Kluyveromyces lactis: one gene and its partner. The main gene of each other region encodes a partner of the protein of the gene in region 2 in a complex. Links are inferred from orthologs where the notes say so. Each region holds a gene or a part of one and is shown on either strand. Other genes may lie near its edges. The genes, in order: DAD2 and ASK1.

Region 1 (7,328 bases), on a different chromosome or scaffold from region 2:
TCTGTTTACACTTTATTCTCTGATGCTGCTGTCCTAACTCAAACAAGTTCCAAATTGGACTCTAATTATCCATTTAAAAGGAAATGGGAGGACATTATACGGTTTAACAAAGATATGAAAGTTCTTGGGTACGATTGTAATTCAAGTTCCTTATACATTACTGATGGAAGAACATGTGCGTTAAAGTTGGAGACTTTTGAAAAATACGAAAACTCTGACTTCCAAGAAATTAGATTCATAAAGTCTCATGTGGATCAATACGTCTATTTTGGAGGACAATCAACGGATTCATTACTAGACTTCAACTTACCTGACAATCTAGATCTACAACCACAAGAAATTGAAACAGATATTCAAATGTCCAGTGATGAGATTAAATATGCATTATCAAACCACATACCGCCTGTTGCTAACAACCCCATGAAACACTTAAAAATAAGAAGCGAACTTTTTGAAAGACTTCTCACATTTGTTGCTCATAATTTTTTGGATCAAACATCTTCCCAATTCAAACTGGACTTGATTTCTGATTTTGAAATGATAAAATGTTTGGAAAGCTTGTACTCTTTACTACCGCAACAACCAACATCTATTTCACAAGCTTGGAAGACAGTACTATCAGAAAGTTCCTATCAATCGGATTCTGATTTTATCTCAGACGGCATTGTTAAGATTCCAGAATTATTGGGCGCCTTTTTGAAGCATTTGAAAGACCTAATGAAATCCACAAATGAAACTATGTTAAAATCTCAGATCGCAAAGCTTATAAATCAACTAGTTTATCATTCCATATTAGAAGAATGTGAAAACAGCTACAGGTATGGACTTTTCCAGATGAGCCCAGATGATGTATCAAAAAATATCCCTTGGTTCACAACAAATAGCATAATAGAAAATCTTAATGACATCTTCTTCTTGTTAAGGCATGCCTCTGAAGATCTTGCCGTTGTGTCAGAATTTGTAGAGGAATTACTGCTATTGGTTAAGTCTCTATTTTATATGGTCAGGCAAATAACCATGTGGATTGATGCAAATGCCATTACTGATTCTAGTTATAAACAGTTTTTCGAAGAAAATCATTTACTTTGGAATAGGGTCCTTAGGGATGTTAACAGGTCTCAGGATTCAATTCTAATCACAGATTTTTACCAAGACTTTGAAGGCTTAGTTGAAACTTTGCAATCTCTGCCAAAAATTACCGCATTCTCTCTATACGATGAATTCTTCCAGAAATACGGATACGACTTTGCAAAATCCTTATTTTCCTACTATATCAAGGAAGGGCTATGGGATGATCTTTACGAATCGTTTGGTGAAACCCATTCAGAATATTTGGACCAGTTCTTAGGAGAATGTCCCGAGTATGGCAAAGTTAAATGGATTGGAAACATATATTGCCATAAATACGACGAAGCAACTACAACTTTGTTGAGTATTTCTACTGGAACTCAATCGCTGGGTCAAGATTTGAAACAAAGACAGGCACAATTGAGTATTGCCAAATTAACAGCTCTTGCCGCGGAAGTTCAAGATCTTGAAAAGCTAAACGAAATTCAAACCGAATTAGATCTCATCGATGGGCAAATTCTTCTATCCCAAGAACTACAAGAATCAACTCTCAACCCACTATTCAAAGACTTTACCACCTATCGAACTTTGTTCAAATATTTGAGCGATGCTGTGAAGAGGAGAGAATCTCTCTCAGTGCCGCATATGATAGAATTATTCACACTATTAAATCAAGATACTTCTTATGGATTTGCATTGAGTATCCTTGCCATTGATCACACGTTACCCACTGAAGTAAAAAAGTACTGCGAGTACCAGATCTGGAGAAGGTGTCTCTTATCCGATGAAAATGCGGTTAGACAAACTTTAAGGGTCTTTTTCAAGCAGCAGTTCTACCATCAAAGTATCGAACTTCCAATCATCGACAACTTGGCCAATGAGAAATTGATCACTGACTCATACCTGGATGGCATGTACCATGGACTAACCGATCTTAATAAATTAGCTAGCGACGTCAAACGAGAGGTTGCTCTTTTCGCTAATTCGAATTTGGACGTTACGATGTTACAATCCATCATTGGAGAAATCAACGAGGAAACCGGTAACCAATGTGTCATCAATTACGCAACTAACACAATCGAGACAAGTCCCACATCTTTCTAATTCAATAATAGAAGAAGGTGCCACACCAATTAATTGTACATAGTATAAAACCTGTTTATACACCATATGTATATATTCAATAAAAACGTTATTCAACGTCATCTGCAACTTTCACCCGTACCAAAGTTTCCGGAAGCGGAGGTAATTGATCCTGTTGCCGCTGCTGGTTATCTTCTGAACTTTCTGACGCAGCACTTTCATCTTCAGCGCCCTGTTGGTTTCTATGTTCCTCTTTACTGGCCCATTTCCCAGTCTCATAGTCGTTTTCTGTATACTGAAGTAAAGATATCGAAGCCTGAGAGATAGACCGAAGAACCGAGTCCCAATTAGCCATTACGTCTTTAACAGTCACAGCATTGCTATTCATCTGCGCTACCTGAACGCTCAGCTCGTCCAATTGAGCCTTTAATTTCTGTGTCAATGCAGAAACATGCTTCAAATAATTCAATTCTCTTCTCTTAGTCTCGATCTCGGTTTCAAATGCCATACTGACAACTTTTTTTCAGGTGACCCAAACCTCTTACTCTTCAGCTAGAATATATCATCCAACTCGCTCCGAGAAGTGTCTATCTTAGCTGATAATTCTTGGTTCTTCTAGTCTTTGAAAGAATTCACATTGTAGAGATTAGTTCAAAGTCGTGATTTCATATTATTCCGATATTGAAATAAAGGAAGAAAACTCGAGAAAACCGACTTGTATCAGGGGAGATTGATCTATACAAGCTACGCTAAGCATTAACACCGCTATTTAGAATGAACGAAGGGTTGGATAACATCAAATTGCCCATTACATGTCCAACTTACCTCATTTGAATTAAATGTAGTACTAAATATGATCCGGGTAATCTTGTTTTTTTGTGTTTACATCGTAGAACAAAACGTAAACAATGAAAACATTCAAAGCTTTAGATCTCATTCAGCGTTTAAATAACCTGTTCATTGACTGAAAGAAGAGCGATTCCTAAGTCTATAGGGACCCGAATTGACGGCGGATAGTGTTACTAAGTTTTGTGAGAGTGCAACATGAGCGCTTCTTCGCAGTACGATGAATTTCAAGCTATGCTTGAGCAACAAAAGGGAATTTATTTACAGCAGAACAGTCAGCTTGCGAAATATAATTCCAGTCTTATGATGAAAATCACTGATATGGAGACTAAAGTGAGTGAATTGGTGCAAGAGAATGTTTCCTTACGGTCGCGGCTTTCTATGGGTGAATTGCGCTATCGTGAGAAGCTCAATACTGTTTTCCAGACGTTAGAGGACGGAATTGTAGAAAAATTCTTGCAAATGAACCAATTGTTGACCACAGTACGGGAGAGCCAGGGTTTAGAATCAGGTATTCATGATAACCCTCTTAAACCGATTTTGAGAGGCTCGAATGGTATAAGCCCGAGATCTGCGAAGAAAGTGGAGTTTACTGGTGCAAATACCACAACGAAACCAGTTGGGTTTGAGGATCCAATTGCGGAAGATAACCATGAAAATAGCGGGAATAGTCTCGAGCTGAATGATGATGAGGTACGACCTCTGAGAAAGAGGAGGCGTAAGAGTTCACGGAGAGAGTCGTTGTTCATTCCTGCAGATTTCGAGTTTAACGATGAGGACCCGGAACTAGAACTGAATCAACTGCCGATAACTGAGGATGAACCGCCGCCTAGTACTGCAGCCACCTCAGTACCTGAGGAAGAGTCTCAGGAGAACAAGCATACAAAAGAAGAGCGTGAAGACGAGGGAAAAGAGAATGTCTCTACGATACCTTTGGTACCGGTCCTTCCATCTGTTACTAACACAGGCACTGAATGTAGCAATACCAATAAAAATAATACTACAGAAATGGAAACTGCACTTGCCGAAGATGATTCTTACAATTTCACTACATCAGTCATTGAATATTCCATTCCAGAGGAAACTTCAACTCACGAGCATTCACATATCCTACTGGAAACGTCGAAATCGAAAATTGATGTATACAACGACAGAGAAGAGACAAACAACAATGAGGCTGATGACTCAATGAATATCGTCCAGTGCACAATCCCATCACAATCGAAAATTAAACATTCCATGAAACATCCTAGGACGAAACTGAAAGGTGGCCAAGATGATATTATGCCCCACACAGATTACGATAAAGATGATGAAAAACGAGAAAGAAGGACTAGAGGCAAAGCTGTCAACTATAAACTCCCATCACTACGTGCTAAGATGCGTAGACCCACTGAAAAATTGGTGGATGCCACAACTGTCACCGATATTCATGATTTACAAGTGAAACGTAGAAATAACCAACAACAGGGAATACCGTCTGATGACGATGATCAGGAAGAACTCTTAGTGCCTGCTGGCGTACCTGACACAAATGTCGTCATTGCAACAGTGGAAGAAGAGAACAGAAAGGAACCACCGGCTTTACCATTACATGAGATTCACCTTGCACAAAACGTTAAACCTAAAATCGCTCTGAAAGAATTATCAGCTAACGCTATCAACAGAAAAGTTAAAACATCTACTGCCGTAAAAGCAATAAGCCACACTAAATCGCGAGTGCTTAAAGATGTCAAGTTCAACACATTGCCCACAAAGCAACAAGCTATTGAAAACAACTCGTCCGATCCAAATGTATCTGATGAAAATGAAAATAGCAACGTGAAACCGACAAGAACTAAACAGGCTACTTCAGATCTAGCAGCATTTGAAATTATAGATGGAATTTCTCTGAAACATGTATCCAGGACACATCGTGTCAGAGCAAAAGAAGACATGAACAAAAAACGTAAAAGAATTCATAATGACGAAATAAGCATATGATAGAACTACCTCAGCATTCAACCCGTCCCATACCAACATTCGATACCAGCATATGGCACATATCATATGAATCTTTTTTTTTTTCCGGTATTTGAGCATGATATAGATAATATTAAGTACATACATTAGATAGACAAATGATACCAATTATCCATGATCCTCAAACGCTCATCTTCATTTGAATCTTCCCATGAGGGTTATAGTCAGTTATTTCGAAGTCTTCGTATTTGAAATCGTCGATATCACTGACATTTCTCTTTATCTTCAATTTTGGGAAAGCTCTTGGCTCTCTGGCAATTTGTGTCCTTAATGCATCAACATGATCTTTATAAACATGCGCATCACCCAAAGTGTGAATAAATTCACCAGGTTCCATATCACAGACCATAGCAATCATCTTCGTCAGTAGCGCATACGACGCGATGTTAAAGGGTACTCCTAGACCCATATCACATGATCTCTGATAAAGTACACATGACAATCTTGGTTTGGCACCTTCTCCCTTGGGGAAACTGACGTAAAATTGCGAGAAAACATGGCATGGCGGTAAAGCCATCTTGGGGAAATCCGGAGGGTTCCATGCAGAAAGAATTATTCTTCTGTCGTATGGATTTGTCTTCAACTTATGAATAATCTCCTTCAACTGATCAACACCTTGACCACTATAATCATCATCACATGTCTTATATTCGGCCCCAAAATGTCTCCATTGGAACCCGTAAACTGGTCCTAAATCCCCCTCTCTTCTGTCAGTCAACCCAAGTGAGTCCAGGTACTCACGAGAACCGTTACCTTCCCATATCTTAACGCCTTGTTCTGATAATTTCTTCCCGTCTGTACATCCAGCAACAAACCATAAGAGCTCCAAAATAATACCTTTCGTAAACACTCTCTTCGTAGTGAGAAGCGGGAAAGTATCATTGCTCAAATTAAACCGTAACTGTGGAGGCGCAAAAAGGGAATAAGTCCCTGTACCAGTTCTATCTGGTCTGAATTCTCCCTCATTGATAATCCTTTCACATAAATCCAAATACTGCTGTTCTTCCGCGTTAACAGCCTCAAGCTTAACTCTCTTCACGTTTTCATCGCTCAGCGTCATGGTTGACAAATGTTGGTTGTTTAATGATCCGATAAAACGCCAAAGGAGTCGAAGGATGGTTGAAGTAAGATAGAGTTTAAACTAGAGATGGCCTTTAACTCTTAAAAGCCGTAGTCTGATTCTTAACGCGTTTTCGTGTTGTGGGAATTTTTCAATGGCCGGGTAATGATGGTGAAACAATGTCACGTGCTACCTAAATTCTTAATTCCATCCTCGATGAAGCTTTGGTCTGGCAAACGAATGCGAATCAAATTTAACCAAAGGTTACTTTGGTTAAGGAGGTACCGTTCTACTGGTAATTATACTGTCTATTAACTGTCCAATTAGAGGCAACTATCGTGTGTGTTTACCCTATCTAATCTGGGACTATAAGCGTTCCTTGTTCAAGCTTTTCTATGTTGAGTAAGTGTCAAAAAGAATATATACAAAGAAAGTGACTACCTTAATATGAGTAATAGAACTGAGCTCTTCAAAAAGTACATGCAAGTGATTGCAGAGACTCAGGGAATTGATGATGCTAGGAACGAATTGAATAATACGAAAGCGAGAGAGGATAGAGAAAAGGTGAAGGAAAAGTTTAGTGTAAAGGATACTTTTGTAAAAGAAAGTAAGCAGTTGATGAAACATATTATGGAATTCCAGATAGTGATAAGGCAATTGACTCCCAGGTACGAAAGTGCTACTGACATGACTGATCAGGAGAAAGATGATTTTGATACAGAGAGCAAACTTCAATTACAGCAATATTTCGAGAAATATAAGCAATTGGAATCGTATGAAAGACAGAGACAAGAAATGATGAAAGAAAAGTTAGAGAAATGGTCCGCAACCGTACCATTTTTCTCTAGATCAATTGACGATGTATCCAGTTTCCACAAGGTGAATAATCAATTTCGTATGGGTATATTACAGTCATTGAATATGTGGCTCATGAAGATTTCAGATAGGTTGTCAACCATTCAGCAGACACGATTATCCAGACAAAGACATATCGAAGCCATTGATTTCAATGCTCAATTACACTTACCTGAAGAAATTTCTGTATCACAGTCTCCTATGATAACGACAACTGTTGAAGAAATCAAACAGTACGAGGAAACGATGTCCAAACTCTCTTCAGAACAATTACAAATCTTGGCCACAGAGCATGAAGAACTTCTTAATTTGAAGAACGAAGAATTACAAAAAGCAGAGGCACTACGGAGAACCGCAGTAGATATTGCATCGCTACAGAGTGAATTGGCTACAC
Region 2 (7,368 bases):
GTATAACAGGGCTGCTGCTAGTGTCGCTCAGGAAAATTTAAGAAAGACTCGTTCTTCTGCTTCTGCTACTGCCAATAAAGTAAATTTGGGCGGTGGTTTATGGCTAGCTCCTGATGATATCGATAATATTGCGAAGGGTCTCATTGCACCAGTGCTTGATGAAGTTGACCAAAGAACCGGCGCTCAACGTGCAATGGACATTGATATCCAAAAAAGAAGCGTGGATTACCAACAGCAATACGAAGAATGGGTCAATATTCAAACTGAAAAGCAAAACAATGATTCTTTGCTACAGGCTAAAGCTTTCGAAAATCATCAGAAGGAAACTGCTGATATCGAAGCTACTTTGGCCAAAAAGTTCCAGAATCTTTGTACGCAGAAGGACAGTGAGGTCGCTAAATTAAAAGAGGCACTCGAAGCTAAGAAGGCGGAACTTGCTAAATTAAAAGAGGATAATGAAGAAGAGCTAAAGAGAGAGGATGAAATGATTACAACAGAATGTGCCGACTTACAAAAAAGCAATGAAAATGAACTTGAACAGGCTAAGAAAGACCAGGAAGAGTTACTGGTTCCATTCAAAAATGACCTCGCTGCTGCAGAAGACCATCACACGGAGTTACAGGATCAAAAGGGTAAAATTGAAGAAAATATCCAGGAGCTTCGTGATTCAATTGAAAAACATAAATCTCATGTAGAAGAATTAAATGCTCAAATTGAAACACAGCAACAGCAACTGGAAACAGAGACTGAAGCTTTAAATCTCCAGTCTGAAAGCCATCAACAGTTGAAAGATGGTATCGAAACCAATTATGTCATAATGGCCGAAAAAGCAAAGGAAGAAGCCAAGGTTTCCAGTGAAGAAGCAAGGGTCAAGCAATTGGAAGTAGATGCGATAATTAACGAACGTCAAACTGAACTATCAAACACCGAAATTGAAGTAAAGAGGGAAAAACTTAAATTAATTGACGCTATGAAAGAAGTTGCTGAAGTAAAGAATGAGGATAAAATTGACGAAGAAAAGGCCAAGGCTTTCCTGGGAACAACATCTGGAGAATTCCTTGCTAGCCAAAAAAAAGTTGAGCCAGCAACTAAATTGCAATCTGACCCAAAGTTATCAGAACCTTCTTCAAAAAGTACCAAAATTGAAGGTGTTACTGGAAATGTTAAAGCGGATGTCCCTGCCTCTCCACCTGCTCACAAAAAGCATTCAATTGGAGGATTAACCTCTCCATTGAAATCAAAGAAAAAATCTGATAAGGACCAGAAAGGATCTTCTATCAAGAAATTTTTTGGTTTGAAGCCATCTGATCAAAATAAGAATACAAAGACCACGCAACCAACTCCTCTTAAAAGTTCCCCAAAGCCTTCTAATAAACCAGTAACGGCAACTGTCACAACCGAAAAGAAGGAAAATGTTGAACCGAAATCTACAGCAACAGAAACCAAACCTTCACTGGAACCATCATTTAGTGGCTTTAGTCAAGGCTCCGTTCATAATAAAGTCGAACAGTCAGATGCTTCTGAAGTAGAAGGTGGAAAAGAAGAGCCTACTTCCAAGGACAACAGAAAGTCCTTGTTCAAAGAAGTATTTTGATTTGAGCTGTGAACATGGTCTGCTCACATTTTTTTATACTATTGAACTCTAAAACCAATTCATCACGTATATCAAAAAGTTCTTTTTATTGATTGATCTTTTAATTACAGTGTCAGAATGATTCAACTCTTCATAATTTGAAGCCATTTCAAAGTAACAAACCGTTATGTATCACTATGAACTTTATTTTTTTCTCTATCTCATAACACTTTTTAAAATTCCCAGAAGCCTGGTAATTTATTCTGTTCTGTTTATTCTATCTATAATATACTCTATTTTTTGTAAAGTTCTAACTAGTATTATCATTATGCTATATTTCAGAATATCCTTCCGAGTAGTTTATATTTACAACTTCATTAATAATTTCTTGAGAAACTAAGTGAGTTATAGTGCGTTCAACTGATTGTACTTGTAATAGTTCAAATTCTCCGTAATTGTGATTTGATGGAAATACTTGGACTGGGTATATCTTCCGCCAATATACCAGTCAACAGAGACAATAATGAAATATAATCCGAACCAAAATGCCAATAGCCATTCAAAACAGGCAGTCGTTGATCTATCTTCTAAGCATGCAAAACAAATAGCCCAAACGAAAGCAGCTATTACCCAAAATGCCTTTAGTAAGCCACTGATAGTATACTTGTTCCAAACATGGCCGTGCCATTCATTCCACCTTGTGTCTTTGCCGATATCTTCACTACTTGTAAGAGGATGGACGACAGCGTAGTGTCTGCCCATTGTCATATATTGTGCGACATGACAAATTACACTCAATCCGACAAATGCACAGAATATACCCACCATGGAACTGTGCACCCTAGGATACGTGTTTGTTGAGAAGATAGTGCACATAAGCAAAGCCAATTCACCTATACTTCCTAGTACGAATGAGGCCCATACTAGATTCCGTTCATGTTTGGTAAAAAATGGAGGCATGACATATTTCTTCTGAATTAAAGCTTCGATGTAGTTCGATTCCATTATAGAGCTATCGTTAGATTTTTCTAAGTCATCATGATAAGTATACGGTAACTTGAAAGGCCAATGACCAGATCTTTGAAAATACTCTAGAGCAACCATGATTACGTATCCTAGACCTTGCCATGCCGCACAAGAAATAAACAACGGTTTTAAATTGGTCGCACCAATATGGGATATATAAACCGGGAACTGGTCTGTATGCATGAACCAATAAATGGGATGACCTTGTCCTGCCCAACATGCCAACATCGCAATTAGCATCCCATACCATGGAATGAAAGCTATCCAGGGAAAGATAAACCAGTAGTTACCTGGACGTGGAAACATATTAGTATAGTCTTGCGGTTTACGTTTATACCTGTATCAAATCCAATCCTTATGAGAATGTCTACCAGTGATATTCTTTAAAGGAATGAGCTATGTTGACCTTGTCCCGTCAAATTCGGCTGGTATAATATACTCATTCTTTTCCTTATATATCTAAAACCCGACTTCCACGAATAAAAAACAATATAAACTATATTTGACATATTTATATATATATGCTTTTATATGGCATGGCTTGTGTATGGCACTGCAGTGATGCTGTCACTGATGCCTTAAATTACAACTTGCTATTCACTGAATGTAACTGTCAATCGGCTCGATGATACACTAGCTTGAGACACCCTGCGCGATTTCTGGGCGCTTTGTTGCGATATTTGCTCCAGTAAAAAAAAAAGGTTTTCTTTCGATGCTTTACTAATAGGTTTCGAGGCTTAAGAGCAAGGATGGATAACGTAATGGATGATATCTAATTTTCCACTCCGAGTAGGCAGAGCCTTCTAAGCCATTGATACCCTTGAATAGCAGACGTGACCGGTGTCCTTGAATCAGTACGTATTATGTAGTTTAGTTTATACTTTCAGCTTGGAAATATCGTAAGCCTCATCCGAATCAGCCTAGCGCTTCTTCGTTGATCTGCAGAAAGTTACCTTGGCATTGCAGAGACTTTCTTTATGTCATTTCAAATTTCTTCTTAGAGTTACAAGAGGAAATATGAATTTGACCAAAAAGTCAACAAACCGGTTTGACAGAAAGGATTTGGATTTGGAAGTGTAAATAGTGACGGTTACAGGTAACAGGACGCGGTGTCCGTTGTTATAAATATTACAGTAAACAAGGAAAAGGACGCAATTAGTCTGTGCCAATTAGCTAACACTAGGTTTCCTGTTTTACATCATGGATGCAGTGAATATTGAACAAATAGATCAAGAGATCACGTTAAATTTACAATCAATCGATTCAGACCTCTCGTACTGTTTCAACAAGATAACAAAGGATATAATACCGTACGTGACGCGATATGGACAGACTTGTGAAGATATCACGAATTCTAGTTCGTGGCTGAAAGAAATGTTTCAGCAGAGTGCTAATGTTCAGTTGGTGACGGATCAGGCTGTGGAATCTGCGGGTCAGGTTTTGGAGCCCCGGACTTCCTTATTTCCAGAGGTAGAAAACGAAACTGATGAGTTCCATACAGTCGATCAATACCCTGCTTTATCTCAAACCGGAGTAAGTTCCGCTGGTGCCCCCACCACGAAAACAGGAGGATCGGTAAAACAGGATCAATTTCAAGATCAGGATACCGATGAGTTGACTCAGGATAGTGCAATGGAAAAACAGAGGAAGAAGAGAAAAGTTTCGTTACAAATTCACCAACATTTCAATTCGTCGTCATCTTCTAATTCTTCAATGGAGAATGATATCTCTGCAAACAGTTCCCCAATAAAGACGATCCCCCCGGAAACAGAAACTGGGACAGAAACACATAACAAAATCCAGGGCGAATTGGCCAAGCCGGGAACCGTTATTCATTTTAACAGCAAACGCGATTGAAGCTCTGTCTTAGCCTTCCCCCACTCACTTCTATATCATAGTGTGTGAGGTATACATTGTTACTCAGGGTTCCAGATCCTATGACCTGAACGAACAATCACGTGATATAATACTTTCCTTTTTAGTTTCATGCTTCTATAGCTTCGTTTTCAATCGGATTTCTACATGGTGAATTTGACATTCTGATTATGTGCGATGCAGAGACTAAGTGAGTATTCATATACGATACAAGATACGCCACAAAACTACCATGGGTAACGTGATGAGTGCAAGTTTCGCTACAGAGTGTACACCTTTGAAGGGTAAGTACGATAAATGTTTTAACGACTGGTACAGCGAGAAATTTTTGAAAGGTGAGTCAATTGAAAACGAATGCCAAACCGAATGGTACGAATATATGGAATGTGTCCAAGCTAGCTTGGTGAAACAAGGCATAAAACCAGCTCTAGATGAAGCACGTAAGGAAGCACCATTCGAGAATGACGGAAAACCTGTAGAGCCTTGAATTGCGGACCAAAGAAACGCATACATACCTGCGCCATTCGCTATGATGAATCTAAGTATAAAATAAATTAAAATGGGTTTCATTTGAAACCTCTGTAAATAGAGAATACAATACAATACCTAGCGCGTATTTTTGACCACAGTAGGGTTAACATTACCAGGAGTTTCGACTGAAGTTGTACCACCGCTACGTGATTATACCTTAATCCTTTCTCCACCGTAAGTCAGGGCAACGTTCGTCCTTTGTGATATCTGCTGTGCAACTCTCTTAATTGGGGTAGCCTTCAGAGACACCTACATAATTCTGCATATAATAATTCAAACATATCACCTAAATAACTAAAGCACAAGAAGGTCCAGTATAATGACTGCTGTCATATTCTTGTAGAACTTCGTGCCAGCTCCATCTCACTGTTTCTATCTCCTCATTGCAGTACTAGAATAGAATATTCTGATTACCCTCCCTCCTTTTTTACCCTATTGCCACCAATAGAAAAATTGAAATAAGAACATTTTCGATAAAAGTAAAATTTGATTTCGAAAGATCTGGGAAAATAGGAAACAAATATTGTTAAGTTAGATAGCTTAATACTCCAGAGAAAGAGTTCAAGGATTGAAACGGCGTTTAAGAGTTCCATTTTTGTAACGATACCTATCTCGCGTGCTTTTCTTGTTGCGAGCAGATACTAAAATTGTACTTTTTTTGGAAAGAAATTATACTCAACATTTTCCAATAAAGCATTATAAAAAATTTGCATACTTGCTTAAACTTCTAAGATTAACAACAAGCAATCAGAACTACTTCAAGAGAACTACTACTACTCACGCAATCCAATTACAGATTATTACAATAACGATCGCCTTCCCTCTTTTGCTAGCAATAATTTAGGTTCGCACAGTTTTTATCAATAGAAATAATCCCGGATGTCACAATTTAAGAGAAACGCCAGTTCGAAGAAACTGGACTCTGAGACTAAATATAAGCTTGAGACGCTATCAGAATTGTTCCCAGATTGGACAAATGATGATTTAATTGATTTAGTCCGTGAATATGATGATCTAGAAACCATAGTTGATAAGATAACTACTGGAGCAGTGACAAAATGGGACGAAGTGAAGAAACCATCTAAAAAGGAAAAGCCTGCATCGCATATAGAACACCAATCTCATAGTTCTCATCAACAGCTGCAACAACAAGCCGCATCACACCTGGACCCTGAAGATTCTCCTTCTCTAATAAATCAACATCATTCGCATCAAAGACAATCTAGATCCACCTCTAAGTTCAGTAATAACAGCGCCAATGGCAAATCAGTGCAACAAAGACAGCAACACCAGTCAAATAATAAAGATAACAAGAAGCAGCCTTCAAAGGATAGTTTGAAGCCTGCTCCATTACCATCTAAATCTAACGCTGGTAATAACGCGGGGTCTTGGGCCGCCGTATTGGCAGAAAAGAAAAAGGCTCATGAAAAGAAGATTGACCATACAAAGTCGTCTAATACAATTGCACATGAATCTACTAATGAACAATCTGAATCTAATGAACATACCGAACCAACTGAAGTTGAAGTTGCACCTGCCCAGCCTGTTGACTCTGCACCAGAATCTGTCAGCCATCAACATGCGCCAGAATCTGAATCAATCGCCACCACAAACGGTGATTCTAAGCCAAAGAGTTGGGCTGACATTGCAAGCGCAAAGAGCAGACAAAGACAACTACAGCAACAGAACAAGAAGCAACAACAGCAACAAAAATCTAAGCCATTGGACAACTTTGATGCTTTGAAGGAAGAAGTTGATCAGTTGTCTTCTGAGCAAACGGAGAATGGAAACCACGCTATTTCTCAAGAACCAGAACAACAGCAACAACCATATGCTCAACAGTCTACATTTGAGGAACCTGCCCAACAAGAGGAAGAAGTCGTAGCGGAAACTACCGAACAACAACAATCACAGCAGCCACAACAGGAAGAGCCTGCTCAACCAGAAGTTTCTCAAGTTCAAGAAACTGCCCCTGTATCTTTGCCAGAGGAAACCAATGCTGCTAATGGTGTCTCTAACATCCAGTTCGGTTCTGAAGACAAGGCTGCTCAACAAACTCTTGCATCTCAAAACTATTACCAACAACAACCAAACCAACAATATGCTCCACAACAAGTCCCACAATCTGCAGCAGCTGCAGCAGCAGCTCAAGCTCAAGCTCAACAATACTACATGTACCAAAACCAATTTGGTTACTCGTACCCAGGTATGTTCGATAACCAATCTTACTTGGGCTACGGCCAACAATTTGGTGCCCCACAAGTTCCTCAAGGCCAAGTTCAACCAGGTCAACAAGCACAACCAGGCCAGCAACCAGCTGCTGGTTCTCCAAACGCTCAACAAGGTCAAACAGCTTCAGCTTA

What was found.
Region 1: the proteins of ASK1 (region 2) and DAD2 are in contact, whole or in part, in a cryo-EM structure (PDB 8Q84), measured with the Saccharomyces cerevisiae proteins. The link is inferred for Kluyveromyces lactis from reciprocal best matches to the Saccharomyces cerevisiae genes ASK1 and DAD2. Residues at the interface, in NP_012872.2 of Saccharomyces cerevisiae: Lys6, Glu7, Thr9, Leu10, Leu13, Asp14, Glu16, Ile17, Asn20, Leu21, Lys23, Ile24, Asn27, Leu28, Phe30, Cys31, Lys34, Ile35, Asp38, Ile39, His42, Tyr46, Ile49, Arg52, Ile53, Ser56, Thr57, Trp59; in NP_013009.1 of Saccharomyces cerevisiae: Ile4, Asp5, Ile8, Lys11, Arg12, Glu14, Leu15, Leu18, Gln19, Ile21, Thr22, Thr25, Asp26, Leu28, Lys29, Leu32, Thr33, Leu35, Asn36, Ile39, Lys40, Met42, Gly43, Ala46, Asp47, Val49, Ala50, Met53, Asn54, Trp56.

The regions. Positions count from the first base shown.
Region 1 is NC_006037.1:697,377-704,704, reverse strand, and holds DAD2 (Dad2p), read right to left. Parts: upstream 2,660-7,328; coding exon 2,261-2,659; downstream 1-2,260. Other genes in the region: NUP133 (Nup133p), read left to right, coding at 1-2,172; SGO1 (Sgo1p), read left to right, coding at 3,196-4,980; CDC21 (thymidylate synthase), read right to left, coding at 5,141-6,079; UFE1 (Ufe1p), read left to right, coding at 6,527-7,328. UniProt on the Saccharomyces cerevisiae protein: Component of the DASH complex that connects microtubules with kinetochores and couples microtubule depolymerisation to chromosome movement; it is involved in retrieving kinetochores to the spindle poles before their re-orientation on the spindle in early mitosis and allows microtubule depolymerization to pull chromosomes apart and resist detachment during anaphase.
Region 2 is NC_006039.1:1,069,664-1,077,031, forward strand, and holds ASK1 (Ask1p), read left to right. Parts: upstream 1-3,799; coding exon 3,800-4,456; downstream 4,457-7,368. Other genes in the region: LPX2 (Lpx2p), read left to right, coding at 1-1,594; SFK1 (Sfk1p), read right to left, coding at 1,979-2,905; MDM35 (Mdm35p), read left to right, coding at 4,707-4,961; DNA damage-responsive RNA polymerase-degradation factor DEF1, read left to right, coding at 5,885-7,368. UniProt on the Saccharomyces cerevisiae protein: Component of the DASH complex that connects microtubules with kinetochores and couples microtubule depolymerisation to chromosome movement; it is involved in retrieving kinetochores to the spindle poles before their re-orientation on the spindle in early mitosis and allows microtubule depolymerization to pull chromosomes apart and resist detachment during anaphase.